Linked DNA regions of Elephas maximus indicus. The protein of the gene in region 1 purifies or fractionates together with the protein of each later gene. This does not show direct contact. Links are inferred from orthologs where the notes say so. Each region holds a gene or a part of one and is shown in the gene's direction. Other genes may lie near its edges.

Evidence for each region.
Region 2: the proteins of PPP2R2B (region 1) and PPP2CB purify together in Homo sapiens (affinity purification with mass spectrometry; 5 studies listed by BioGRID and IntAct, with this or other methods). This does not show direct contact. The link is inferred for Elephas maximus indicus from reciprocal best matches to the Homo sapiens genes PPP2R2B and PPP2CB.
Region 3: the proteins of PPP2R2B (region 1) and PABIR1 purify together in Homo sapiens (affinity purification with mass spectrometry; 4 studies listed by BioGRID and IntAct, with this or other methods). This does not show direct contact. The link is inferred for Elephas maximus indicus from reciprocal best matches to the Homo sapiens genes PPP2R2B and PABIR1.
Region 4: the proteins of PPP2R2B (region 1) and ECSIT purify together in Homo sapiens (affinity purification with mass spectrometry; 3 studies listed by BioGRID and IntAct, with this or other methods). This does not show direct contact. The link is inferred for Elephas maximus indicus from reciprocal best matches to the Homo sapiens genes PPP2R2B and ECSIT.

What each region holds. Positions count from the first base shown.
Region 1 is NC_064820.1:161,175,177-161,182,441, reverse strand, and holds the start of PPP2R2B (serine/threonine-protein phosphatase 2A 55 kDa regulatory subunit B beta isoform), read left to right. Parts: upstream 1-4,246; 5' UTR 4,247-4,540; coding exon 4,541-4,619; intron 4,620-7,265. UniProt on the Homo sapiens protein: The B regulatory subunit might modulate substrate selectivity and catalytic activity, and might also direct the localization of the catalytic enzyme to a particular subcellular compartment.
Region 2 is NC_064840.1:69,435,655-69,443,219, forward strand, and holds the start of PPP2CB (serine/threonine-protein phosphatase 2A catalytic subunit beta isoform), read left to right. Parts: upstream 1-4,557; 5' UTR 4,558-4,909; coding exon 4,910-5,011; intron 5,012-7,565.
Region 3 is NC_064827.1:10,663,473-10,670,344, forward strand, and holds the start of PABIR1 (PPP2R1A-PPP2R2A-interacting phosphatase regulator 1), read left to right. Parts: upstream 1-3,850; 5' UTR 3,851-6,872. UniProt on the Homo sapiens protein: Acts as an inhibitor of serine/threonine-protein phosphatase 2A (PP2A) activity. Inhibits PP2A activity by blocking the substrate binding site on PPP2R2A and the active site of PPP2CA.
Region 4 is NC_064821.1:29,503,999-29,511,491, reverse strand, and holds the start of ECSIT (evolutionarily conserved signaling intermediate in Toll pathway, mitochondrial), read left to right. Parts: upstream 1-4,473; 5' UTR 4,474-4,561; intron 4,562-4,755; 5' UTR 4,756-4,893; intron 4,894-7,493.

The sequences.
Region 1 (7,265 bases):
CTCATGTTGGTCCAGTGGTATGGGAGCATTTGCAGCCCTTTGCCAGGCGAGTGGGGGTGTCAGAGTAGGAGTGGTATGGGCTCACTTCCTACCATTCAGTAGCTGGTCAAGTGGCAGGAGGGGAGGGATTATTCCGGCCTGGGGTGGTGGCAGGTCTGAGCACTGGAGATGCTCTACTTGTGGCAGTGCAACAGGGGCCAGCAGAAAAGGGGGAAATATGGCATATGAGGCTAGGTGGGAAGGAGAAAGAAAAGGAAAAATGAGAAAAAAATAAATAAGAATGGTGGCATGGTGGGGCTTAGTAAGTGGGAACGGAGTGGAACCGGAGGCCAGTAGGAAGGGAGTAGAGGTGACATGCGGGGCTAGGTCTGATGGAGGAAGAAAAAAAATGGTAGCATGGTGAGAGCCAGCGGGTGGGGGTGAGGCAGACTCAGGGTAGTGGCAGGTGGATGGCCAGTGGCTCTCTAGCCACAGCAGCATGGCGGGGGCTGGCAGGAAGGGAGGGAGGTTATCCTATGAGGCTAGGTGGGTGGAGGAAAGAAAAAAAGGAAAAAGATGGCAGCAAGTTGGATGCCAGAGAGTGAGGGTGGGGTAGACCTGAGCCAGCAACTGGCCAGTGGCTCTCTAGCTGTGGCAGAATGGCAGGGGCTGACGGGAAGGGGATGGAGTTGACGTATGGGGCTAGGTAGGGGGGAGAAAGAAAAGAAAGAGAAAATAATCATTTTTTTTTTAATGGTCGCATGGTGGGGGCCGGCGAGTGGAGGCAGGGTGGACCCGGGGGCCAGTGGGAAGGGAGGGTATGTGACATACGGGGCTAGGTGGAAAGGAGAAAAAAAATTAAAAATAAATGGTGTCACAGCGGGGTCAAGGTGGACCCAGGGGCCAGTGGGAAGAGAGGAGAGGTGACGTATGAGACTAGGTGGGAGGGAGAAAGGAAAAAGAGAAAAGAAAAAATATTTTTTAAATGGTGACAGACACAGTGGGGGCCGGGAGTGGGGATGGGGTGACCCCCGAGGCCAGTGGGAAGGGAGGGGTGGTAATGCATGGGGATAGGTGGGAGAAAGAAAGAAAGCACAGAAGAGAAGGGGAAAAAAGGCAGTGTGGCAGGAGCTGGCAGGTGGCGGCTGGGCAGAACCAGGGTGGCTGTGGGCTAGTAGCTCTCTAGCCATGGCAGCTCAGTGGGGGCCAGCGGGAAGGGGAGTGGATGGCATACAGGGCTAGGTGAGAGGGAGAAAGGGGAAAAAATGGCAGTGCAGTGGAAGCAGTTGGGTGGGGGTGGGGTGGACTCGGGGGAGCCAGTGGGAAGGGAGGGGAGGTGACTTACCAGACTAGATGAGAGGCAGAAAGAAAAAGAAGAAAGAAGAAAAAACTGTGCAGCCAGAGGGGGTGGGGCAGGCCGAGGCTAGGAGTAGGTGGGGCTCATATGATGGATCCCAGTGGTGGGGGCTTCTGGGAGGGGGGGTTCTTGCTTCAATTCACCAGAAGGTAAGGGGTGGGTAAGCATGTTTTCCTGGTTACTGGGTGCTCTGTTTCCGGCTGGGAGCTCCATGAAGTTGCCTTCTCATACTCCCTGTCTGGAGGAGTTGCTGGCTGTGCTTCAAGATGGTGATGCTGTACCGTATTAGTTGGCAGGGGACCTCTACTCCCTATCTCTCCTTGTTCTCTGTTTTCTATCAGTTTCTTCTTCCATTCAGTATTTGATCCAGTTCTTTATCGTTTTGTTCCAGAGTTCCAGGATTGACTTTCATATCTGTTTTACTTAGTTTTTCAAGTCTTTGCTGCAGAGGGATGGCATGGCATGTCTATCTAGGGTGCCATGTTGGCTCCACCCTCCCCATTCATTCTTTCACTCACTCATTCCACAAACATTTATTGAGTACCTGCTCTGTCCCAGCCACTGGGCTAAGCACTGGGGATACAAAAATGAATTAGATATTGATCTCTCCCTCAGAAAGTTTACAATTTTATTGTTTAGACAAGCTAGGTAAATAAATGCTGTAAAATACTATGATTAAGAGCTAATTTTACTGTTATTAAAAAAAAAAAAAAAACTGTTGCTATCAAGTCGATTCTGACTCCTAGCAACCCTATAGGAAAGAGTAGAACTGTCCCAAAGGGTTTCTAGGGAGTGGTTGGTAGATTCTAACTACTGAACTTTTGGTTAGCAGTCAAGTTCTTAACCACTATGACACCAGGGCTCCATTATTGTTATAAAAAAAAAATTATTGTTATAGATAATAATAAAACTTATGAAGCACTTGCCATGTGCTAGGCACTGTGCTAAATCCTTTATATGAACTACTCATTTTGCCTTCACAAAATCACAAGATTCTATTATCATCCTTACTATATATGTAATGAGGCTTAGGGATGTTGAGTTTCCCAAGGTCACACAGTAAGTCAATATCAAAGGCAGAAGTAAACTTGCTGTCTAACCACTCTTTGGCTGCTCTTGAGTTGACACATGGCTGCAGAAGATCAGAGAATGCCAGCAATAACAGCAACATTGGTAGTTTACCAAGCACATACAATATGCCAGGTGCTTTATGCTTTTTTTTAATGCTTATTCTCTCACTTATTTCTTTCAGAAATGTACAGGGAAAACATTATTATTGTTACCATTTTGTAGATGCAGAAACTGATGCTCACAGGTGTTATATTTCATGTCTCCCCAATCAGTAAATGAACTCACTGTAATTCAAACTTGGGTCAGATTGGCCCCAAAGCCAATATACCTCTACTCTGCCTGCTGCTGTATGTAAAACATTTCTCAGGAAGATACCTAAGGATACATTCTTCTGTGGTAAGTCTGAGATACCCACACAACCAAAGCTGACCATTTACGTGTTGGTTAAACAGTACCTTACATTGGATGGCCTTACCTTGCCGGGTCCCTGGATCTAAGGAGGGTGATGTGTTAAATGATTATCTCAGGACTAAATGGTGTGGCTCCGCCCATGTCTTCATGTTACAATGGTCCAAAAACCAGAAAGGTGGCATATCGGTGAAGCCAGCAATTTACATTATCATAGCATGTACTGGTACTGTAACTGCTTTATGGCTCCAAGACTTCTCTTTTCTGGACAGACTATCACATCCTCCAATGGAAAGTTAAATATTTTTGCAAAGAGGCGAGCCCATAAAGGCTTAAAAAAATATCCTAACATATTTTCATAAACCTTGTTTTTTAAAATCCCACTCAGGGGAATATTGGTTTTCTTCTCCAGACTATTAAATTGTTTCCTTTTGTCTCAGAATGCATCAAAAAGGATACTCATCTCTTTCTCTTTGTCAAACACAATAGTGTCTTTGACAGATCTTATAAATTCCAAACTGACACAATGTGCTTGTCTTCTAGTGATAAGTTTTTCAAAGTCAGTATTATTTCATGGGCCAAAACCAAACCATCACCCTGCACATCAAAGTACTTATATTTGGTGATTGGCCATGTCCTTTAGCAACCTCAACTTCTGGGACTCCACCTCAGATCCAAGCTCTTCTGGAATTGAGCTGGGGACCACCCTGTTCTGAAAACCCACCCTTGTTTCTTATCCTCAAAGTAGGAGCCTGGGATTAGGGGCTGTGTATATAAAGTTCCGTCTCTCTCTCGGTTGAAACTTCAGTGAGAATTTTGGTAAAGTTGGTATAATCTTTGGATCAACTTACTTTTTCCATGTTTTCGTATGCCCTCAGGGTGCATGAGTTGGTGAAGGGTTGGCTTCCTCAGGTTTAGTCTATATTTTTGTGTTGTGGTTTTGTATTTGTACAGCGGATAACTCGGAACTAAGTTACTGCTTTAATGTGAGTGCTGGCAGGAAAGAAAGAAAAAAAAGCCGTGTTGGAGCACAGACTGTCTGTGTTAGCTCTCTGTCACTGACTACTCAGCCCAGCTTTGGGCTTCACCTAAGTGATAAATGGTCCTATTGTTTGGGTTTTGGTATTAAAAAAAAATCGCACTAAATCTAGATTAAGCGGGGACAGAGACCCATTTCATTGCACTGTACTTTAATAGTCCTGAGATCTGAGGTCTTAAGGGTGGCTCCTTTGAACAGCTATCTCTCTCCAGGGCGGTACACTATGCTGTCTTTGTTTCATCTGATCTTTCAGCTAAATAAGAGATGGTCACTTATCCCCACGACTCCCATATCCTGCTGGATTTCTGTTGCTAAAAGAGAAACTGACCACAGGGAAAAGGTAGAGGTTTCAGGCAGGGCATTTCAGCGTGTGTTTACAGGCAGGACTGACTTACTCAGCAAATCCTGCTCGGAGGAGCTGCAGCCAATGAAGAAGCTATATCCCGGCTTGCTTGGGGCTTCTGAGTTTGAGCTGCATGCAGAAATGTAAGGCAGTGCTTCCTGGCGCTGATGGCAAAATGGGACCCATCTCCAGTGATTCCTCGGGCTTCCCCACTCTGCAGATCTGGAAGAGAGCCTACAGAAACATATTGGTGATGTAGCCAGCTTTAAAGGCCCAGGGAATCCTTATGGATTCAGGAGACTGGTTTTTTATGTAGGTTTTTATTTTTTATTTTTTGGGGAAGATGAAATGCTTCTCTCGTTACCTGCCTTACATCTTCAGACCTCCGAACACCATCCTCTCTTCCAGCTGCCACACGGAAGGTACAGACCAGAGAGGGAGAGTATCTGGGTGGGTGGGAAAAACTGGGCTGGTGTATGACTTGCCACAGGCTCTGCTGACACGGCTTTCTGTAGCTACTAGATGACTGCTGTTCCTGGCAAAAGCTGGTATCTGACAGACTTAGATCTGCTTCGAAAATCAGCTTGTCTTCTACTAGCAAACAGGAAGTCTTTCTGAGAGGCAGGGTCATGTTGAAAAGGTGATCTCCAAGCTGATACAGCTGATTGGAAAATAATTGAGAAATGTTTTTCCAATTTCCCTTGTTCCACTTAACATGCAAACAAGTCATTGGAACTAGCGTCAAGAGAAAACATTTCAGTAGATGCTGCCACATACGTTTACCTAAGCTCTCTGTGTTGCCAACTGTTTGTTTAATAACTTGGTGCATGCCAACAGCGCAATTAGCAAAATAGAAGGAGCTTACTACCTGGCTGTGTAGTGTTGATGGTTTGATTAGTTAACTGGAAGTCTGTGCTTAGGTGACAGAGCAGCAAGAACACAGCTGACTTTCAGCACTTGCTGGAAATGGGTTTTGTGGGAATCCTAAATTAAGGCTTAAGGTGAGGGTGAGCTGAGCTTTGTGTAAACACCCCCCAGTTTTTGTTCCTTTGGGGGAGTTCCTCTGCTGCCTTCTTACCCAGCATGATCTGCAAACATGTGTGTGTACTTTCTGTGTGCACGTGTGTGCACACTGTAAACATTCTGGTAATTCACCTTCAACCAAGCTCTGCAGATTTCAGCTCTTCTTTTTTTTTTTTTTTATAATCAGTAGCTGGTTGTGCATCTTAGATATGCAATTTGCCTGTTTCTTTTAATCTAGCACATCCTTAGAAAAGAGCAGTTTCAAAAAAAGCAACCGCCTGGCCATCTGTCAGCTTTAGGGGTTGTCCTACAAGCGGTACTGGATTGAAGAGGGCTGGGGATAGATGGTGAGGTGGCGGGATTCCACCTCAAGTCCAAGCTCTTCTGGAACTGAGCTGGGAGGACCAGCCCGTTAATCAGCCTGTTCTGAAAACCCACCCTTGTTTCTTATCCTCAGAGTGGGATCCTGGGATTAGGGGCTGTGTATATAAAATGAGAAGAGCATAACCCAAATATATTGTAGTATTGGGTGGTTTTCAATCAGTACCCACAGGGAAAAGAGAGCAGAGTTTGGGATCCCCCTTGAATTGGGACTGAGGATGGTATTTTCCATAGACATTGACATTTCATAGATTTTTTTTTTCAATCGGATATTTCCCTTAAAATTTTTTTTTGGTGGCTAAATTTTTAAAGGAAAATGCCTTTTGAGAAATCTGTCTTCCATCGTGAAGAAAAACCTAGTGAGCCCCTATATATATTTGGGAGTAAGGAGAAAGGATCAAAATCTCAGAGTATATGTCCCAAATACAAAAAACCTAAATCAAATCCAAAAAATCTAGATGATTTTTACATTTCTGATAGGTTCCCCCCCAACTTCGACTTTGAGAACCCAAACACTGTTCCATTCAGTTGCTGTTTTGTATATTAATCAAACTAAATATCTCACATCATATGGACCAAAAAAACACAAGAACTTTTTTCTTTTCATGATTTATCGGACATATTTATTAGATTTTTTTACACATTCCATTGACAACTTTTACAAGTACTATTTTGATATATAATAAATATGCTTTGAGGCATTGTGTTTCCCCCTGGTGAATCAAGAGAATTTACCAGGAGTGTACCAGTGATCATTTCTCAGCTTGATGTTCCCTGGGTTTGTGCAAGAACCTGGACTGTGGGCAAGTGCCCTGGAGATGTGCTCTTTATGGACTAGGGGAGGGAACAAGAACTTTTTAAATTCTTATTTTAAGTAAAATTTCACTGATTTATCCAATCAAAATGGAAACCCCATTTTGTTCATATATATATATTTTTTAAAAATCCCTGTTTAACCCACTATCACCAGATTTGGGGGCAGGGAGGGAGTAGGGAGACATGTCTACATTTGTTGTAAGCCTAATAAAGATAACAGCAAGGGTAATAGCACCTGTCAGACACATGGACACATGAACACATGGATGTGGCACTGGGGAGAGGGGAAAAGGTATGAGTTGTATGCTAAGCAAGTAGGGCCAAGTAACTGCTCTGTTCTGTGCCCATTTTTATGCATAAAATGGAAATAAAAAGTAAATAAAATAAAATAACTCCCAGGATGTTATGAGAATTCAGTGAGATAATACAAAGTTCTTAGTACTACTTAGCATGTGATAGGTGCTATTTCTGAGTCCCACACCCTATGTGTTTTCTTGGATATTCAAGTTTTCTTTGTCTTTTGCACCATTCTTATCAATGAGTCACCAGGAATGAATTACACTTTTTTTTTTTCTTTAAAGTTTGTCTAAGGAGAAAAATACTTCAATACGAATCTTGGTTTGTGTTTTTCTTCTTATGCTGTTAGCAGTCATGTTACCCTGTAGGCTGTTTTGGAAAAATTATGACTACGAACTTCATATTTTATTCAATTGAAGAGTGAAGAATGAATAACTTGTGTATATCCCCGCAAAAGTCAAACAAATACAAGTGATCTGAACAACCCTCTTAAGAGTAATTCTAGAACATCTTTAAAAACTTCAATAATTCCTGGACTTCTTAGGCAACAA
Region 2 (7,565 bases), on another chromosome or scaffold:
TAGATTTGACGCGTTGAACACTAATGACCAAAGACCGTACGATTGTGGAATGACATCAAGAATGTCATACATTAAGTGAGAGGTCATTAAAAAGACCGGAGAGAAAGAAAAGGAGGTGACGTGATCAGGAACCGATGGTACCAAAGGAAGAAGTCCAAGCTGCACTGAAGGCATTGGCAAAAAACAATGATCTGGGAATTGATGGAATACCAACTGAGATGTTTCCACAATTGGATGCAGCACTGGAAGTGCTCACTCGTCTACGCCAAGAAATGTGGAAGACAGCTACCTGCCCAGCCAACTGGAAGAGATCCATATTTATGCCTGTCCCCAAGAAATGTGATCCAACTGAATGCGGAAATTATCAAACAATATCATTAATATCACATGCAAACAAAATTTTGCTGAAGGTCATTCAAAAACGGTTGCAGCAGTATATCCAACAGGGAACTGCCAGAAGTTCAAGCCAGATTCAGAAGAGGATATGAAAGGAGGGATATCGTTGCTGATGTCAGATAAATCTTGGCTGAAAGTAGAGAATACCAGAAAGATGTTTACCTGTGTTTTATTGTCTATGCAAAGGCATTTGACTATGTGGATCATAAATTATGGATAAGACTGCAAAGCATGGGAATTCCAGAACACTTCATTGTGCTCATCCAGAATATGTAAATAGACCAAGAGGCAGTTGTTCAAACAGAACAAGGGGATACTGCATGGTTTCAGTCAGGATAGGTGTGCATCAGTGTTGTGTCCTTTCACCATACTTATTCAGTCTATGCCGAGCAAATAATCTGCGAATCTGGACTGTATGAAGAAAAACGAGGCATCAGGATTGGAGGAAGACTCATTAACAGCCTGAGATACACACGCCACAACCTTGTTGCTGAAATGGAAGAGAACTTGAAGTACTTACTGATGAAGATCAAAGACTACAGCCTTCAGTGTGGATTGCATCTCAACATAAAACAAAATTCTCACAGCTAGACGAAAAATTCTCACACCTCAACATAAAACAAAAGTTCTCACAGCTGGACCACTTACCAACATCATGATAAAGGGAGAAAAGATTGAAGTTGTCAAGGATTTCATTTTACTTGAATCCACAATCAACGCCCATGGGCACAGCAGTCAAGAAATCAAACAGCCCATTGCATTGGGCAGATCTGCTGCAAAAGGTCTCTTTAAATTATTAAGCAGCAAAGGTAGCACTTTGAGAACTAAGGAGCTCCTGACCCAAGCCATAGTATTTCCAGTCGCCTCATATGCATGCAAAAGCTGGACAATGACTAAGGAAGACCAAAGAAGAATTGATGCCTTTGAATTATGATGTTGCCAAAGAATATTCAGTACACCATGGTTGGCCAGAAGAACAAACAAATCTGTCTTGGAAGAAGTAAGGCCAGAATGCTCCTTAGAAGTGAAGGTGGTGAGACTTCGGGCATGTTGTCAGGAGAAGGACATCATGCTTGGTAAAGGAGAGGGTCAGCGAAAAAGAGGAAGACCCTCAACGATATGGGACACAGTGGCTGCAGCAATGGGTTCAAACATAGCAATGATTGTGAGGATGCATGGGACTGGGCAGGGTTTCGTTCTTTTGTACACAGGGTTGCTTGGAGTCGGAACTGACTTGATGGCACTTAACTTACATGATAAATTCGAAAAGGTCTTTTTGGACCACATTTTGGGCAGAAGGCTGGGACTAGGGGCAAGAACTATGCTCTTTTTAGTAATAATGATTTGTAGCTTTTAATTTCAAAGAAAGAATTTCAAATTTGATTTTTTTTATTCCATCATCATTGAAGGAGATCTTTATGTACATTCCCTATATCAATTTCAATATCATAATTCAAATCCCAATTGTCAAATGGTTTTTGAACTCTAAAACTGTTTTCAATCTTTTGAGGATTATGGATATGTAAAAGGATCTTTTTAGACCAATACAATATATAATCTTAATGTAGTGTGTAAGTCTCTGGATATATCACAAGATATAAATGATTCATGTTTCAAATTTTTTAATGGTATAATTTTTAAAAAAGCCTAGTAAATTGTATAAGAACGAGATCAAACATGTGATTTTTAAGGCTGAACTCGTTTAAAAATTCTTTGATCCAAAGGGGGAAATAAACAGAATAAACGCGAGAACACTTGTAGTAAGGAAAGAAATTTGTAACCAGACTACAAACCCAGGGTTAAATGCATCTTTGCATGACAAGCAAGGATTGGAAATTGATGGCTCCGTTTCACAGGAGAAAATAACCAATATGCAAACAAACATGAAGATGGCGCGGGGCTCCGCAGAGTTGTGTTCTGTTGTGCATAGGGACATTGTGAGTTGGAGCCCACTTTGCAGCAGCTAACAACAAGTTGACACACACGTACATACATACGTAAACCAAAGAGCAAAAAAAGCTTTAGGATCATAGTTTTTGTTTTCAATTAGGATGCTAGAAATAAGACTTTCTTGACAACCGAAATACCAAAAATTGATACTGCATACTCTTGCCAGATCTACCAACGTCCAGCTTTCCCTAGTCTGTTTCAGACTGCAGAGACCATAAAACAAAGCATGGGAGTGGAAGTCTGGGTTTTAATCCTTCCTCCAGCAGTTACTCTGTGAATTGAACAAGTTTTCAAGGCTGTATTTCTCACATCTGCAAAACGGAGGGTAATAATAGCACCTGCCTCAGGGTTGTCGAAAGAAGGAAACGAAAATATGTAAAGCAGCGTGTAGGAAGCGTTCCAAAAAGTATTTGCTCTACAGCACTACTAGACAAAACTTTCGGAAGCACTGCTTTCACCAGGTCACCTCCCCACGCCAACTTAGCAACACGCTTTCACAGTGATTCCACACACATTTGCGTCTTTCAAGGACCTCACTTCCTAACCACCATAATTCTCATTTCTCCTCAAGATGTGTTTTCTCAGTCCATCTTTGGAAACTCTGAAAATACCATAATCGTTCTTTCATTCTAAGCCTTTGAGGTTTAGCTGGTATCCAGCCTCCTTCAAATCTTTATACTGGAGCCCTGGTGGTGCAGTGGTTAAGCTTTTGGCTGCTAACCAAAAGGTCAGCGGTTCGAACCCACCAGCCACTCCCCGGTTCCATAAAGATTCACAGCCTTGGAGACCCTATGTGGCAGTGCTACTCTGTCCTGTAGGTTTGCTCTAAATTGGAATTAATGGCAATGGGTTTGGGTTTTTCAAGTCTTTATAGACTAATCTCGAAGATTGCATATCAAATATATACTGGCACGCTTTCTATTCAGTGGTAGTGTCATCATTTCATGTTTTGTTCAGTTGGTTTGCCACTATTGACAAGTAGCTTGAGAGCTTGAGCTGTACCGGCCTTATTTCCCACCATGTGACCTGTTTAGTTGCTGGAAGTATTTATAGCTTTCCACACAGACAGTGGCTTTTCACACATTTGTCCTCAGGCACAAAAAATTCTTTTGAACTACTTTTCTCCGGGTAACCTCAAAATTTTGCCTGGGGGGAAGGCTTACAATTCGGTTTCAATGCCACCTTCCCAAAGCTTTCTGCAGCGGTTTCCTAGGAGGGATAAAGCAGCTGATGTGTTGGTCCCATGCTGTCGTAGTGGACAAGCTGAAAGGAAGGCCTTTGAACACGTGAGGAATCCGAGGCTGGGAGAGGTTTGGTGATTGCCCAAGGAAGCAGCTACGAAGTTGGCAAAGCCAAGGTTGGAATCCTTGCTGCCTTGTACGGAACGATGCCATCCACTTGGGTTCAGCTGCAGTCGTACGTATGTGTCTCTAATAGAGACAGTGTGGTCTTTTAACATCAGCTCTACACAGTATCTGGCAGTTAGCAGCTATTTGGTAAATAGATGTTGAACAAACAAATCATTAGAACTCCGTGAACGTTGGACTAAAGGTAAAGAATGCTGGAGCTGGAAGGGGCACAGACTGACATGATTCAGAACAATCGTCTCGCCTATGTGATGCTGAAAGGATCCGAGATGTTAGGACCCACAGCTAGTGGCTGAGGCAAGACTAAAACCAAAAAAATACCCAGTGCCATTGAGGCGTTAAGACTCATAGTGACCCTACAGGACAGAACTGCCCCATAGAGTTTCCAAGGAGCACGTGGCGGATTCGAACTGCCGACCCTTTGGTTAGCAGCCATAGCTCTTAACCACTATACCACCAGGGTTACCAAGAGACAAGACTACAAGTAATTTATTCACTAGATAAATATTTACCGAATGCCTACTGTGGGGGAGTGTCTGACTCTGGACAGACAATATTGTCCAGAAAAAGCCCCAGCTTCCCAATTCCCTGTTCAAAGCACTGGAAAGCAGTGCAGGAGCCTAAGGTAAAAGTGCTGAGAAAACAGGAAGTGAAGGAAGAACCAGGAAGGCGGGATTGGGGGGTAGAAGAGAAAAGAGGGAGCTGTTTGGCCCTCTTGGGCCGTTTCTCCGCCGAGCCACGTGAGGGCGCTGCTCCGCTCCTCGTGTCGCCCGACTGCGCCTCCGCCTGCTCTTTTTTCCGCCGGAAGTGCCGGGGCAATGACGGAAAGCCGGAGGGAGGGGAGAGAAAGAGCGAAAGAGAAGGGCCGAGAGAGCCGGGAGAGGCCGGCGGGCTGGAGGCGGCGGTAGCGGGCGGCCATCGTCCGGCAGGAGCTGCGCCGAGGGCCCGCGCCGCGCTCCGCCTAGCTCCCCGCGCCCTTCGCCGACTCCGGGGGCGCGCGGCCGGGCGGGAAGGGCGGACAGGGGTCTCCCCGAGGCCGTGCGCCCGGAGCCGCCTGCTGGGCTTGGGCGGGGCGCGCGGCCCGCGGCCGCCCTGCCGGTCTCCGTCCTCTCCCGCCGGGAGCTGGCGGCGGCGGGAGAGGGGAGCGGCGCCCGGGGCGGGGGGCGGGCAGCGGCGGGGACGGGGATCGTGGCGCCATGGACGACAAGGCGTTGACCAAGGAGCTGGACCAGTGGGTCGAGCAGCTGAACGAGTGTAAACAGCTCAACGAGAACCAAGTGCGGACCCTGTGCGAGAAGGTGAGAGAGGAGAGGGGAACGGGGAGCGCTGGGCGGCGGCGGCGGCGACCCCTCCCGGGCCTGCGGGTTCCGTGGCCGGCCCAGCCTGCCGAGGGGTCCCGCCGGCCTGCGCCCCTTGTTCCGAGGGCCAGCCCGGAGGCCGGGCCAGACCTTTCCAGGGCTGCGGCCTTGAGCTGCCCTCGCCAGGTTGCTCTGCCTCCTGGGGTGGGTGGGGGGGACGAACGGGGCACCCCGAATCCACGCCCCAAGTTTAATTGGGGTCGCCTGCAGTTGTGGGGTCTTCACGTCACTCCTGCATTTCACGTGTGGATTAGCGATAGCGGCGTATTCAAATACCGGGAAATTAGTCTAAGGCAGTCCCTTGACTTGAAAATGCACCCAAAATTAATATTGTTGATATTAATAAACTTGCTTTAAAACGTAGAATTTCCTCAGGTGAGCGGGAGCCTTTCAAAAATCGCTAACTTGGATGCGTCTAGTGTTTGTAGAGAAGGGGGTGTAATGGCAAAACCGGGTTTTAAAACAGTGGTTGAGTTCGGGTTCCACAGATGGTAACTGGTTTTCAGGTTGAGTGGCTCTTGGAAGTTAAATGTGGATTTTCAGCAACGACAGCCAGGCTTACGTTTGGGAACAGTGCTTGCTTAGAATGGTAAATAGGATATGTGTTTTTCGTACTGTATTGCGCTTTTCAAAAAGTCGTTTCCATTTTAATTGTAACTTTTTTTTCTTTTCCAACGTACTCGTATGGTTAACTGTATATGATCTTTCCTGATTGTGTCATTTTAGCTTTCGGAATTCTGTATCCATTGTTGTCATAACTACTGAAGTTACTTCGGTTTCTCCATTGTATTTTAAATCCAAGGATTTTCTCATCCATCTCTTATAGACTAAGTAGTTTAATTTTCACATATTTTCTCGTTAAAAGGCTCCATTTGAAGTCCATGAAAGTGTAACAAAATTACTTATGCTTTATTACTTTTTTCAAAATCTTTTTAAAGCTGTAATGTATGAAACTTTTGATCATAATGTTTTAAAGTCATCATGCCCCAAAAATGTACTGGAGAAGGAAATATCTTGTCAGTCTTATTAATCGGGTGCTCCTAAAATTATACAGCTTACTTTGGGGTGAAGAAGTAATGATTAGTACTAAGTTAAAATAGTATTTTTAAATGAGGTTTAGTGTTCTTTTTAACAAATATGATGTTGCCTAGGGTCTTTACATAACTATTTGTTAAAACAATTCATTTCTGTAAGTAAAACTGCCATGTAAATAGTTTACTTGTAGCTTCAAATAGACATTCAATTTGCTTGTGTGCTAACCTGTAATTTAGTGAGTCTTAAAATTTGCGTTTTAGATAATACTCTCTCAAACTCTAGTGTCAAGTTAAACACCCAGTTTTGAAATCAGCTGAATCAGTTAACCTCCTATGAACATCGTATGTATATATTCTTGAATTTATGGACAAACTTGATAGTTGAGTCAGTTTTTCTGACAAAATTTTAAGATTTATTTCTATAGAAGAAAATTGTGCCTCTACTTGGAAATAATCATACTTGAGTCTTAACATTCTTATGAGGAAGCTTTCTGTATTTATCAAGAGGTACTATTTTTATTTCAGCTTCTAAATATACTGGGCCTCCAGTTCCTAAGGCCTTATTGGTATATTTAAAGTTACGTCGTGTACTTTTTTTTTTAATCCCATTTTATCTTTTTATCCTAAGCTTATATCTTGTACTTTTTCTTTGAATATTTTTACTTATTCACAAAAGATGAATTTTTTGAATGATCCCCAACCGCTTTGTCTTCCACCATTTTGATGGAATTGACACACAGTCTGGCCATGAATTGGAATCGACTTGATGGCAAAGGATTTCTTGTATATTTGTTTTCCCCCATTGGATGGAGATGTGGAATAGAATCCCTTTTTCTGCTTTTTTGAACAATACATAGTTTCGTATTCTTCTAGCAACTGTGGTGTACCTTTATGGTATATGTGTTCCTACCAAAGAAAAATCAAACCCGTTGCCATCGAGTAATTTCCGACTCATAGCAACCCTATAGTACAGAGTAGAACTGTCCCATAGGGTTTCCAGGGAGCGGCTGGTGGATTCACACTGCTGACCTTTTGGTGAGCAGCTGACCTCTTAACCACTGTACCACAAGGGCTCCAATTGTAGCTATAAAATCCAGAAAAATACAGTCTCAGTGAGTATGTCTAGTGGTTCCTGTTATCGAAAGTGCAAAATACTGGGGTAGGATTGTGTGAAGTAGCTTTACTCCTAACTTGACCTACTTAGTACTTACTGTACCCTTCCAGATCGAGAATGGCAGATACATAGGAAAAATAAAAGAAAAATAAAAAGTCAAACCTAATTATAAATCACCTTTTTTTTTTTTTTAATTTTTTGCACCCTGCTGGAGATAAAACTATAGAAAGTTATGTTTTAAGGGATTTTCACCAGTATGGTGGTGGTTTTTCTATTAAATTTAATTTCTGTTCTAACTCAGATTACCTGAGAACCGAAGGAGTTGGCTGAAACCAAGACAAAGTAG
Region 3 (6,872 bases), on another chromosome or scaffold:
GAACACAGTTCAATCCGTAACAAGCACTTAACCATTTGCACTTCCCAGGGGCTCCTTTGCATTTAGTAGGTTCTCAGTAGTTGTTTGTGGGCAATTATAGAATGGTTGATAACAGCTTCTAAGCTCATCCACGAGATAATCTCTTCTTCCACCGTGATAACAAAATGTGTCCCGTACTTAAACATAATCCCTGCTCTCCACGTATGTTCTCACAGCCCCTGCCGAGTTCCACTGACACTCCTTTGACTCTGTGCCATTTCATGAATTATGCTGGGAGGATACCGCTGTGAAGGCAACCGAGCCAACTTTGATTGAGCAGCCTACACAGAGAGTGCAGTTGAGAAAGTCACAGGCAGTAAAAAGGGCTTCATTTCCTTCTTGCTGGCTCTTTAGAAGTCACTCACTTCGAAGGCACTGTGGAAACGGGGGCAAGAAGAGCTGATGGTACCCTGGGTGATCGGCAACCAGCCTCACACATCTCCAGTGTTTATGTGAGGGTGCTGGGGCCTCATGGTATTTAGACCCCCAATGAGATGGAGCCTGAGTGTGTGTGTGTGTGTGTGGTTGGTGTGTGTTTCTCTCTCCTTTCTACTGTCAAGGCCAGCTAGCTGCTCTTCCACTGACCCTTTTCTGTCAGATTTAGGAGTTCAGCATCCCAGTTGAGAGTTAGGCTTATGGTTAGTGTTTGAACTTAAACTTACTTCCAATTGACATGCATTGCCAGGTCTTCACGTCTTATTCTGTTCTATAGTTCTCATTTAAGGGGCCCTGGTGGCGCAGTGGTTAAGAGCTCGGCTGCTAACCAAAAAGTCAGCAGTTTGAATCCTCCAGCTGTTCCTTGAAAACCCAATGGGACAGTTCTACTGTGTCCTATAGGGTCGCTGTGAGTCAGAATCAACTTGGCGGCAACAGGTTTGGTTTTGGTTTTGGTGGGGCAAGTTAAACGCTTGGCTGCTAACCGGAAGGTTAGTGGTTAGAACTAACCAGCGGCTCAGTGGGAGAAAAGATCCGGCCATTTGCTCCCATAAAGATTACAGCCTAGGAAACCCAATGAGACAGTTCTGCTTTGTCATATGGGGTCACTGTGAGTTGAAATAGACTCAATGGCCCCCAACAACACTTCCCCATTTACATTCCATGTACCCATGCTGTTTTTTCTATATTAAAAACATTTTTGAGTTCTAACTTATATACAGTATAGTATATAAATCTCAAGTATTCAGTTCAGTGAATTTTTACATTTGTGTAGACTGTACTAGCAGCACCCAGATCAGAATTTGGGTCATTTCCTTTTTACCCCTCCCTCACTGATAGTCAGTGATCCCAAGGGTGACCAACTGTTTGGACTTCTCTTTCCATAGATTGGTTTTGGCTCCTCTTGAACTTCATGAAAATGGAGTTGTAGAATATGTACTCCTTTGTGTTTGATTTCATTCATTTAATGTTATACTGTGATCCATCTATGTTGCTGAGTGTAGAATTCCATTGTATAATTTATTCACCATTCTCCTGGTTATGGGCATCCGGGTTTTCTCTAGTTTTTAGTTATTACTGATTATGCTACCAGGGATGTCCTCGTACATGTCTTTTGATGGACATAAGCACTCATTTCTGTTGGGTAGATACCGGGAGGAAACCCTGGAAGTGTAGTGGTTAAGTGCTACAGCTGCCAACTGAAAGGTCATCAGTTCAAATCCACCAGGCGCTCCTTGGAAACTATGGGGCAGTTCTACTCTGTCCTGTAGAGTCGCTATGAGTTGGAATTGACTCAACAGCAATGTGTGGGTTATATACCAGGAGTAGAATTGGTTAGTGATAGGGCATGCATATGTTTTCTTTTGGTGTTGTTGTAAGGTGCCCTCTAGTCATTTCCGACTCGTAGTGACCCTGTGTACAACAGAATGAAACACTGCCAGGTCCTCCAGCATCCTCACAGTCATTGTTATGCATAAGCCCATTGTTGCAGCCACTGTGTCAGCCTGTCTCATTGAGGGTGTTCCTCTTCTTCACTGACCCTCTACTTTACCAAGCATGATGTCCTTCTACATTTTCCCAAAGTAGCTGTACCAATTAACACTCCTTTAGTTCCTGTACTTTCAAAGTGCAATTTTCCTCTGTAACATTTTTATTCTAGGATGGCAGTGCTAGTTGATGTTGTATGTTGAAGTATCTGCCAGTCCATCGCAGATTACATACACACACACATTTGTATTTCACATTCATTCACTGTGTATCCGTAGGTGAATATTTGCCTTGTCTTACACTTGAGGGGAAACTCTGGTGGCATAGTGGTTAAGAGCTACTGCTGCTAACCAAAAAAAGGTCAGCAGTTCAAATCCACCAGGCACTCCTTGGAAACCCTATGGGGCAGTTCTACTCTGTCCTTTAGGGTCACAATGAGCTGGAATCGACTCAACGACAGTGGATTTGGTGGTTTTGGATTATGCTTGGGGAATGCTGAATATACCCTGGACTGCCAGGAGAACAAACAAATCTGTCTTGGAGGAAGTACAGCCAGGATATTCCTTAGAAGTGAGGATGGTGAGGCTTTGACTTGCTTACTTTGGACATGTTATCAGGCGGGATCAGTCCCTGGAGAAAGATACCATGCTTGGTAAAGTAGAGGGCCAGCGAAAAAAAGGAAGACCCTCAACCAAATGGATTGACATGGTGGCTGCAACAATGGGCTCAAACATACCCACTATTGTGATGACAGTGCAAGACCGGGTCATGTTTCATTCTTTTATATGTAGGGTCGCTGTGAGTCCAACCCAGCGCCACAGCACCTAACAACAACGTGCTTGGAGGTTCATAGTGAATAATTGCCCTTAGGAATTAAAAGGACATTGTCTGTAACTTTAAAAAAGCGAATATTAATCGGAATAAAGTTTGACTATTGAGTAGATGTCTGGTTTTGTGACTCAGGAGTGAGCATGAATGCCCAGTGTTTGCATGTGGTATGTAATTCATACTCGGACTGAAGCCGGAAGGCCGAATTGACTCAAGAAAGGTCCACTGGATCCGCCTTTGGCATCAGTCATTTGCAACAGGCTGAAATGCACATTATGGCTGCTATTTTCTCTCACTTATCTTTGATTTCTTTGAGAGGAAGCAGTAGCTCAATATATTAAACACTGATTAGCATCCTCTGTGCTGGGCATTTTAATTCTATCAAGTATATCTCAGCCTATGGCTGAAAAAGACTGGAAACCAGGGCCTCAGTTTCTTAGTTTATGTAACAGATGTAACCCACCTGCAGGGGCTGATGAACAGTATAATTAACAATTATGACCTCCATGTGAGAGAAAGAATCACCCAAGTAAGGCTGACTTAGAGCCAGCCTAGAGAAGCCTGGATCGCCTGGATATTCAAATAATAGTTCTCCCCTCTTTTGGATAAAGCTACATTTGTACTGCTGGTGCTGCTTATAAGGGAAGGTCAGGGATGCCTCTCAGCCAATGACATTGGAGCAGAGCCGTGAAGGGATTAAACCAAAAACCAAACCCGCTGCTGCCCAGTCAATTGCTACTCATAGTGACCCTATAGGACAGGGTAGAACTGCCCTGTAGGGTTTCCGAGGCTGTAAATCTTTACAGAAGCAGACTGCCACATCTTTCTTCCTCTGAGTGGCTGGTGGGTTTGAACCGCTGGCCTTTCAGTTAGCAGCCGAGTGCTTAACCACTGTACCACCTGGGCACCTCTGACTAGATTAAGCACCGTGGATACCTGGAAGAAGACTAACCAATGTGGAGGGGAGCATGCCTGGTGGGCAGAAGAGCAGTGAGGGGCCTCTTTGGCTGGAGGGGAGGGAGGCGGGGTCAGAGGAACAGCAAGAGCCCAACTTAGACAAGGCTCAGGAGGCCACCATCATGACCTCAGCTTTTTCCTAAGTGGGAATCCACAGCAGAAGCGTTTGCTCAGGGAAATGACATGAGTCAACTTTTTTTAAAGGATTGCTTTGAAGATTGGGTGGAGAGCTGATTGCAAAGACAGGGTGGAAACAGGGAAGCCAGTTAAGTTCTCTGATAGATGTACTCAAGCAAGAGCCAAGTGGCATAGATGTTTCATCACTGTGTTTTATTGGTAATAAAATTACAACCAGTAATTGTGTTCTTCGAGACTTAGACAATGTCTGGCACATCCCAGCCACCTTAGTAAGGTAATGATTAAAACCCCTTGCTCTCGAGTCAATTCCGACTCACAGTGACCCCATAGGGCAGAATAGAACTGCCCCATAGGGTTTCCAAGGAGCGGCTGGTGGATTCCAACTGCCGACTTTTTGGGTAGCAGCTGAGCTCTTAACTACTTCGCCACCAGGACTCTTTAGGTAATGATTTAGTAATCTGCAAATTAATATTATGGATATTAAGGAGCCCTGGTAGTGTAGCACAGTTCGACTCTGATACTCACGGGGTCACCATGAGTCAGAGTTGACCAGACAATAACTGGAGGGATTGTTTCAAGTGCCTGGCAGGTAGGAGGCACTTGGAAAACGTCGGTCCTTTTCCCTTTCTGTTCTTCCATGTCACTGCATCCTTGATCCACCTGCCGCATCCTGAAGCTCAGACCTCGTTATGCCATTCCTCTTGTCAAAAATCTACCTTGGCTCCCTATTGCCTCACAGACTAAATACAGGCACTTTTGCCTGGTGTTCAATGCTCCATTCCCTGACTCCGACTTCCATCTCCAACTTTTTCCCGTTACTTATTCTTCTCCATGTATTTGATGTGTTAGCCGATGTCATGGATTGAATTGTGTCCCCCAAAATATCTGTCAACTTGGCTAGGTCATGATTCCCAGTATTGCATGATTGCCCACCATTTTGTCATTTGATGTGATTTTCATATGTGTTTTAATCCTACCTCTACTCGATGGCAATGGGTTTTTTTTTATGATGTTAATGAGGTGGGATTAGTGGCAGTTATGTTAATGAGGCAGGACTCAAGATTAGGTTCTATCTTAAGCCAATCTCTTTTGAGGTATAAAAGAGAGAGGTGAGGAGAGAGACCTCGCCAAGAAAGAAGCACTGGGAGCATAGCGTGTCCTTTGGACTCGGGGTCCCTTTGCTGAGAAGCTCCTTGACCAGGGAAGATTAATGACAAAGACCTTCCCCCAGAACCAACAAAGAGAGAAAGACTTCCCCTGGAGCTGGAACCCTGAATGCAGACTTGTAGCCTCCTAGACTGTGAGAGAGTAAATTTCTCTTTGTTAAAGCCATCCACTTGTGGTATTTCTGTTATAGCAGCACTAGGTGACTAAGATGGCCAAATTCACTCCTTTGTATTTACTTCTGCTGCCACTTCTATATGAAATGCCATCTCTCACTTCAAAGCCTCTTTCAAGTGCCATTCACAAAGCTGTTAGTAATCTGCAAGGTCACCGTATTTGGAGTAGGCAGCATCGTGCCCAGAGAGCCCAAGTTCTCTGCCACTTTCTGGGAACGCTGCTTAACCTCTGTGTCTCAGCTTTCCTTGTAAAATGGGGGTAATGATAACACCTACCTCGTAGAGTTGTTGGGAGGATTAAATGAGATACTACTCACGAAGCACTTTGAATAGTAGTGCCTAGCACTTGGAAAGCTTAAATCAGTTTCTATAATTGTAGGCATGAATAACTGACATTATTTTACCATCAAAACCAAAGACCAAACCCATCGCTGTCGAGTCAATTCCAACTCATAGTGTCCCTATAGGACAGAGTAGAACCACCCCATAGGGTTTCTAAGGCTGGTGGATTCAAACTGCCGACCTTTTGGTTAGCAGCCAACCACTATGCCACCGGGGCTCCATTTTTTTTTTTTTTTTTTTTTACCATCAAGGGCATCAAATTAAAATTTGTTTGAGACACAGCAAAAAGAGATGTGGGCTAGGAACCAAGAGACCTGGACTCTAGTCCTGGTCCCCACTGCTAATCAGCCGTGTGATGGTGAATATGTCATTTTCCTCTCTGCATCTTATTTCCTTTAGCTGCAAAAACTGCTGGGGTTGGACAAAAGTCTCTAAGCTCTGTTTCAGTTCAAGGAGCCATATAGGTGTCTAAAAGCCACTCCAATGCAACACGACCAAACAGAAATCCTAATTTCCACTCCTAAGTGCTTGACTACTAGGCGAATGGTTGTCTGTTCCAACGCACCCAGAGATCCTTCAGGAGACACGCCTGGGGATCTGCTTCCGAAAGGTCACAGCTTCAAAAACCCTATGGAGCCGATCTACTCTGCACATATCCAGTCGCCATGAGTCAGAGTCAACTTGACGGCAACTGGGGGGGGGCCCAGGAAGAGGATTTTAGGACTGCACCCATATGCCATGAAGAGTTTTGTGGGCTTTACTTGATTTCCAGGAGTCCTTGGGTGCTGCAAATGGCTAAGTGCTCAACTACTAGCTAAAAAGGTTGGCAATTTGAACCCACCCAGAGGCTCTTTGGAAGACAGGTGTAGTGATCTGCTTCCGAAAGGTCACAGCCTTGAAAACCCTGGGGAGCACAGTTCTACTCTGCACACATTGGTGTGAGTCAGAATCAACTCAACAGAGCAAACAACAAATTGCTGCTTCCCTGGCTTTCCTCATCTCAGTAAATGGCACCACCGTATTCTCGGTTTAAGTAAACAATTTATGAGTTATTGTCTTAATCATCTAGTGTTGCTTTAACAGAAATACCACAAATGGATGGCTTTAATAAACAGAAGTTTATTCTCTCCCAGCTTAGCAGGCTAGAAGTCTGAATTCAGGGCGCTGGCTCTAGCAGAAGGCTTTTTCTTTCTGTTGGCTCTGGGGGAAGGTCCCTGTCATCAATCTTTCCCTGGTCTGGGAGCTTTTTAGCACAGGGACCCTGGATCCAAAGGATGCGCACGGATCCTGACTCTGCTTTCTTGG
Region 4 (7,493 bases), on another chromosome or scaffold:
TTCAGGGTGCCAGCTCCAGGGGAAGGCTTTCTCTCTCTGTCAACATGGAGGAAAGTCTTTGTTATTAGTTTTCCCCTGGACTAGGAACTTCTCAGCACAGGAACCCTGAGTCTAAAGGCCACGCTGTGCTTCTGGCTCCAGTTTCTTGGTGGTATGAGGTCCACCCGTCTCTCTGCTCCTTCTGTCTTTTATATCTCAAAAGAGATTGGGTTAAAACACAACCTAATCTTGTAGATTGAGTCCTGCCTCATTAACATAACTGCCTCTAATCTCATTAACATCATAGAGGTAGGATTTACAACACATAGGAAAATCACATCAGATGACAAAATGGTGGACAATCACACAATACTGGGAATCATGACCTAGCCAAGTTGACACATATTTTTTGGGGGGGTACAATTCAATCCATGACAAGTGCTTACTATAAGCAGGCACTGTGCTAACCTATTTGCATTGTTTCATTTCCTCCTCACAACAGCCTTATGAGATGCTTTCATTATCCCCATTTTACAGAGGCAAAGACTGAGGCTCAGTGAGAGAAAGTCACATCCCCAAGGACACACCAATTATGAGGGGCAAGGCTGGGACTCAGCCAAGATCTGCTAGACTCTCAAACTGGCACTCCATAACCTAGCACACAGTACACATGGGCGGGGTGGTGGGGAGATAGCTTGTGGTGTCTCAGGGGTCTTTATAGGAAGCAGTAGAAGCCAGAGAAGGTGCACAGTAACACAGGAACATCTGATCTCCCTGTTGCAGAGAATCAGCACCAGGTCTAGGGTGAGGCAGTGGTCAGAGGTGGGAAGGGGATGGGGTGTGACCCCCAGTCCCACCCAGCCAAATTTTACCTGCCTACCATACAGCAGATAACCAGAAACATCAGCCACAGTCTATAGGTGAGGGGAACGAGGGACCCACTGACCCTCACCCTGGATTGATCTGGCCAGTGCAGCTGGTGGCCTGGCATGGAGGAGTCAAGGCCCTCAGCTCTGCACTTGGCTGGGGTAGAGAGAAACTGTGTGTTGGCACATGAGGCTCCTTAGTGGGACCAGCCTTACTCTGGGAAACTTCCTGGAGGGGTCCCTTTCTCACCTGGACACCCTCCAGCAGTGCTGCCGGCTCTCCACCTGCCCAGAAGCAGGGAGTAGGAATGGGGTGAAGAGGGGTCTATCCATGGGGGCCCAGCTGACTCTTACAGAGCAGGGATTGATACAGATGGCCTGTACAGAGAACAAGTTGTACAGGCCAGAGCGCTAATGGTCAGGGGCAAGTTTGGCCACACCTCTACTTAATTCATGCCCCCCCAGCCCCCCCCACCCAGCTACCTGGACTCCCACTCAGGTGTCTGTGTGGGTCCAAGGCTCTGTGGGCAAGAGGAACAGGTGTGGGCTGAGCGCCCTGGAGCTCATTTGATCAAAATGAAGTCAGGAATCAGAACCATGGGGGCCACAGGTACGGGCAGGGATGTGGCCACGTACACACCCCAGTCACCTCCTCTTCCTGATTGCCCAGCTCCTACAGCCAGAGAGGCAGATGCCAGCTGCACCACCTCCAATGTCGCCATGCTCCAAGGTAAGGCAACAATCTGGGGATCTGCCTGGTGCACACGGGGGAGCAGAGGCACACATCCAGGGACCCAGGCACTGTGTCTCTGTGGTGCGAGGGATCACTTTTGTGTGGCCTTTCTCACCATGGTCTTGTAACTCCCACCCAATACTTGGTTGGAACTGTACAGATAAGGTAATTGTGGTCAGTTTTGCCATCCCACTAGGCTTAAAAGAGAGCCAGTTCCAGGCAAAGGCAGGATCTCATTCACAACCATCAAGGAAGAATAGCCAGGAGCAGAGTGTGTCCTTTGGACCAGGGATCCCTACAGCACTGAGAAACTTCTGGAACCAGGAGACAGTCAGAGTTGTAATACTGAAGATGGTGAGAAGTGGTAGCAGAGAAAGAGCAGAGGAGAGACTGGCAGGGACAGCACAGTGGGCTTCCCGGCACACGGAGCAAAAAAGCTGAGTGCTTTTGGGCAGGAAGCTTGGTGGCAGAATAGGATGCCTCCAAGCACTTGGTGGAGTTATGTTTGCCGACCCATGGAGCTAGCGCTGAGTGTATTCTGGCTGAGGCTTACTGGTGGAGTGGGGTGCCTGGGGACGCTTCGGGCAGAGCTAAAAGAGCTTTGTGACACTTGCCTGAGCAGGGAAGAGGCAGAGAAAAGCAGTGGCATGACTGGGAACAGACTGTCTTGATGGAAGAACTGTATCCTATGTGTTCCTGAGCCTGTTACTTCCCTAATAAACCCCATAATCATGATTATTATCTGTGAGTTCTGTCTGGCCATTGCAATGAATTATCGAACGCAGCAGAGAAGTAGAGAGTGCTATGGGAGAGACTGTTGTGTCAGAATTGGTAAAGATGCCAGAGAGAGGAGGCATGTCTGACCTCTGCCTCGCAGGAATCAGCCTTGGGCTGTTGATCTTGATTCTCCTCTCCCCCTGTGAAACTAGAGATCAGGTGCCGTCCCCACACCATATTTACAATCTCACACACACAGGGTCACACATTCAGGATACAGCCAGCCCTGGGTAGGTACTGGGGATCAGACACATAACCACAGGCAGAGAGATACACACGGAGTGCTACAAACACAGTCACAACCCCACACTGTGGTCAGATATACACTCATACACAGAAGGAGTCTAGAGACACACTATTGTCACAAACATAGACCAGCCCACACGCAGATAGCTAGACACAGTCACAGAATCACTGAGACACACTTATAACCAGGATCATCACAGACATACACAGTGCCGTAGAAGTCAATGGCCAGGAACAATCACACACATACAAGTCAAGGACACACAGAGTGTCACAAACACAGTAACAAACACACACTGGTTGGAACACAACCACACATGGAGTCCCACAACATCAGAGACTTTGGCATGGTCAGACCTGTTACACCATTGCTGAAACACAATCAAAATCACACACATGGTGTGCCACACACTCACAGAATCACAGACTCACTCACTTGTAATTAGACATACAATCACACCCAGAGTGACCGATCTGGGGTATCACACACAGTCACATGCACTCCGATGATGGGACACAATCATGTATGCATAAGTCATAGACATACAGTGTGACAAATACAGTCATTTATCCACTGGTGTTCAGACATGCAGTCATACACACATTAAGGCACAGGAACAATCACAGAAACATTGACACACATACTGCCAGCCCCTTGACTTGTGGGGCAAATCCCCCTTCCCACACGCACAGAGTCACAGACACCCAGAAGCTAGTACACTAAGAGTCACACATGCAGCTACTGACAAACACACAAGAACCCATGAGACACTCACTATGACATGCTGTCACACACACCAATGCCCAGACTGGCCTGGGCACCACCCCTGACCCACACTCACACAGCCGCACATACACCTACACGCCTTTGCTTGAGTTTGGAGATACAACAAAATGCACAACCCCCTCCCACCACACACACACACACTACCACTCCAACATTGCAGTGACATTCCTCCTCCCACAGTTCCAGGACACATTCATGAACACACACACAGCCCCACACGACCCTCAGCCCTCAATGAGGGTGGCCCAAGGGTCAAACCAGACTCCTTCGTCCCAGTGGGGTGAAGAGGGGGTTGGGGGGGTGGGGTGGGAGAGGAAGGCTGAGGGTGAATCCCGCATGATAACAGTGGTGTTGTTGTATGCCATCAAGTCGATTCCTACTCATAGCCACCCTATATGACAGAGTAGAACTGCCCCATAGGGTTTCCAAGGAGTGGCTGGTGGATTTGAACTGCTGACCTTTTGGCTAGCAGCCTGAGCTCTTAACACTGCCACCGGACTCCATGATAACAAAACAATTTATATGGCTGTTCTCCAGGGATTAATTCAATTAAACCTCAAACAACCCTATCAGATTATTATAATTGCCCCATTTCACAGGTGAGACAATGGAGGGACATATGGGTTAAGCACTTGCCCAGAATCATGGACCTAGATTAGCAGAGCCTGTCTCTTCCACTAGTGTCAGCGCTGTGACACTCTAGTTTTGTTCGCTGCTGTATGCTCAGGGCCTAGAACTGTGGCTGGCACACAGTGAGTTCTCAATGGATGTTTGTTGAGGGAAAGAAGGAATTCACATCCCTTCCAACTTTGATAAGTTGATAATTCAACTCTGCGTCTCAGGAGGGAATACCGGAGGCTTAGGCTGGGATCACAGTCCCCCGAAGTCCAGCTTCCCAGTCTGGGACCGGCTCAATCACTCCTTCCCCAGCCATAGTTCACGGTTCCCAGGTGGAGGGTGCGGCTTGCCTTGTTAAGGGCGGGGCCTGGCTCGTTATTGGTGGGCCTCCCAAGGTAGGCGGAACATCTCTAAACTGGTCTTCACGATTTGCTGCTTTTTTTTTTTTTTTTTCGGGGAGAGGAGACGGTAACCCGGAAGCTCTTCGGGTCAATATGGCGGCGCCCAGCTGGAAGATAGAACCGGTCCGGTGGCCGCGGCCGGCCTCATGAGGAGGTAGGTCACGCGTTGGAGGGGGAGGGAGAGCTCCTAGGCCCCGGGGTGGCTCGTTCCGGGTCCGGGAACGCGGAAGGGCGGCCCCACAGGGACCCATCTGCAGGCCTACAGCGCCATGACCTTTTGAAGTGCGGGGCGGGGACGTAGAGGAAATCGCTCCCGCAGCCTCACATACTTTATTTCCCATTTTGTAGATAAGACAACTGAGACTCAAAGAGGTTAAGGCCCTCGCTCGAGATCACGCTGCAAGTCCGTAGCAGGCGAGAATTCGAACCCGTGTCTGCCAGTTGTTCTTGAGACGCAGAATCTTGGCAGCCAGCCGCAGCGCTGCTGTACGTACACCCATTCAAGGGGTTCAGGTTTATAGAGGTTTTGTAGAAATTTAGATCTTATTTCCTTTCAATTTGATAGTTGTTGGGCAACTGCCATTACCAGACACTGCCCCAGGTGCTGGGTACACAGCAGTGAACAAGACAGACAAAAATCCCGTCTTTTCTGGGTGAACGGGACATTGAACAAGTCAGAAATAAATGAAACAGATGATTTCAGCTACTGATCATTGCTGAAAATGCATTAATCTTGGTAATGGAGGCTTTTTAGATGGTGGGCAGGGCGGTCAAGGGAGGCGTCTCATTTGAATGGAAATCTGAATGACCAGAGACAGCCCTGGGGAGGTCTGGGGAAAGTTCGTTCCAAACAGAGGGAAAAGCAAGTGCAAAGATCCTGAGACGAATAAAACTTGGCTTGTTTAAGAAACAGTGTAGCTGGAAGAGTAGACCCTGTGGGATTTTATTTTAAGCGTGTGATATACATTGGAGCCCTGGTGGCTTAGTGGTTAAGAGCTATGGCTGCTAACCAAAAGGCCAGCAGTTCAAATTCACCGGTTGCTCCTTGGAAGCTCTGTCCTATAGGAGCGCTATGATTTGGAATCGACTCCACAGCAAAGCGTTTTGGGTTTTAGACCATTCCTGATTTTAGGCAGAGTGCACTAAAAATAACTTACATTTAAAAAAAATTCCTCTGACCACAGTGACGAGAACTGACTGGAGGCAGGTAAAGGTAGAGGTGGGAGAGGCTGAGTAGGTGCCTAGGGAGAGGCAATGGATTGGGGTCATGGCCTGTGAATGAAGAGAAATGCATGCATATGGAATCAATTTGGGAATAGTCAAATTGATGGATTGAATGGGGGAGTGAGGAACTTGGTGGGCTCAGAGCTGACTCCTAGGTTTGTGGCCTGAGTAACTAGGAATGGTGGTGCCATTGCCTGTGATGGGGAGGAACAAGCTTAAGCAGCGATACCAGTTTGGAGCAAGTTAAGTTTGAGATGGCTGGGTGTACATCAAAGCGGCAGTTAGGTATCGAGGCTGGTGCTCTGGGCTGGTGTTGGAGATAAACATTTCAGAGCTGTTAGCGCATAGGTCAACACTTATTAGACTTTAATACACACAGGAGACGCCTGGAGCTCTTGTTAAAACACACATTCTGATTCAGCAGGTGGTGTGGATTAGGGCCAAGATTTTGCATTTCTAATAAGCTCCCAGGTTATGCTGAAGCTACTAATCCCTGGAACACACTTTGAATAGCAAGGATTTAGAGCAGCGGTTCTTAATCCTAACTGCATATTAGAGTCATTGGTATGCTTTAAAAATTTGGTGCCTGGGCCCCACACCCAAATATTCTGATTTTGTTTATTTGGGGTGTGGCCTGGGCATGAGAATTTGTTTTTTTAATTTTATTTATTTTGTTGTTGAGAATACACATAGCAAAACATAACACCAGTTCTGCAGTTTTTACATGTACAATTCAATAACGTTGATTGCATTCAGTGACGTTGATTACATTCTTCAAACTGTATAACCATTCTCACCCTCCTTTCTGAGTTGTTCCTCCTGCATTAACATCAACTCACTGCCCCCCCCCAAAGGCTCCTATCTAATCTTTTGAGTTGCTGTTGTCAATTTGACCCCATATAGATAGATCTTAAAAGAGCACAATGCTCAAGGCAGACATTGTTTACTAGTTAAGCTAAACTACTGTTTGGTTTTAAGAAGACTTCAGGGTATATTTTTGGTTTAAGGTTCAAAGATTATCTCAGGGCACTAGTTTCAGGGGTTCATCTAGCCTCCAGGGCTCCAGAAAGTCTGGAGTCCATGAGAATTTGAAACTGTTCTGCATTTTCCTGGGCACAGGAGTTTTTTAAAGCTCCCTAAAAGATTCCAATATGAACAAAGTTTGAGAACCACCAGGGCTGTATATAGGAAATACAAAGATGAGAGGAACAAGTGAAATGACACTGCAGGGAAGCAAGCAGACAAATCCACAATGTGAAATTCTTTGCAGTCTCATTACACAAAGTGTAGTCCCCAGATCAGCACATCAGCCTCATCCAGGAGCGTTTTGGATGTGCAGAGTCTCTGGCCCCAGCCCAGATGTGCTGAATCAGAATTGGCACTTTAATGAGATCCCAGATGAGTCATCTGCATATTCAAGCACTTGTGAACATTGCAAAATTTAGAGAAGGAAATGTATCCTGCTGATTGATAAACAGAGAAAGTAAACCAAGAAAATATCTGAGTGTTGAGAAAAAGGCGGGAGGGTAGGTCACTTGTACCAGGTGCTTCTGAGAAATTGAGCAAGACGGAGTCCTGAGAAGTAACCGTAGCCTTTATAAGATATAAAACACAGAGGCCTTTACAAGAGAGATTTCATTGGAATGGTTGGAGGAGCAGCCAGGTTAGAGAGAGTGAGGATGGAGTTGTAGTGTGTAGACACCTCTGGGGAGAAATTTTGCTATAAAGGGAGCAGATATGTGGGACAGAGGTTGGAGGGAGACCTGGGGTCAAGATGGGAGATGCTAGAACAGGTTTAAATGGTGATAAGAATGATTCAAACACTTCCCAACTCATTATATGAGGCCAGCATTATCCTGATA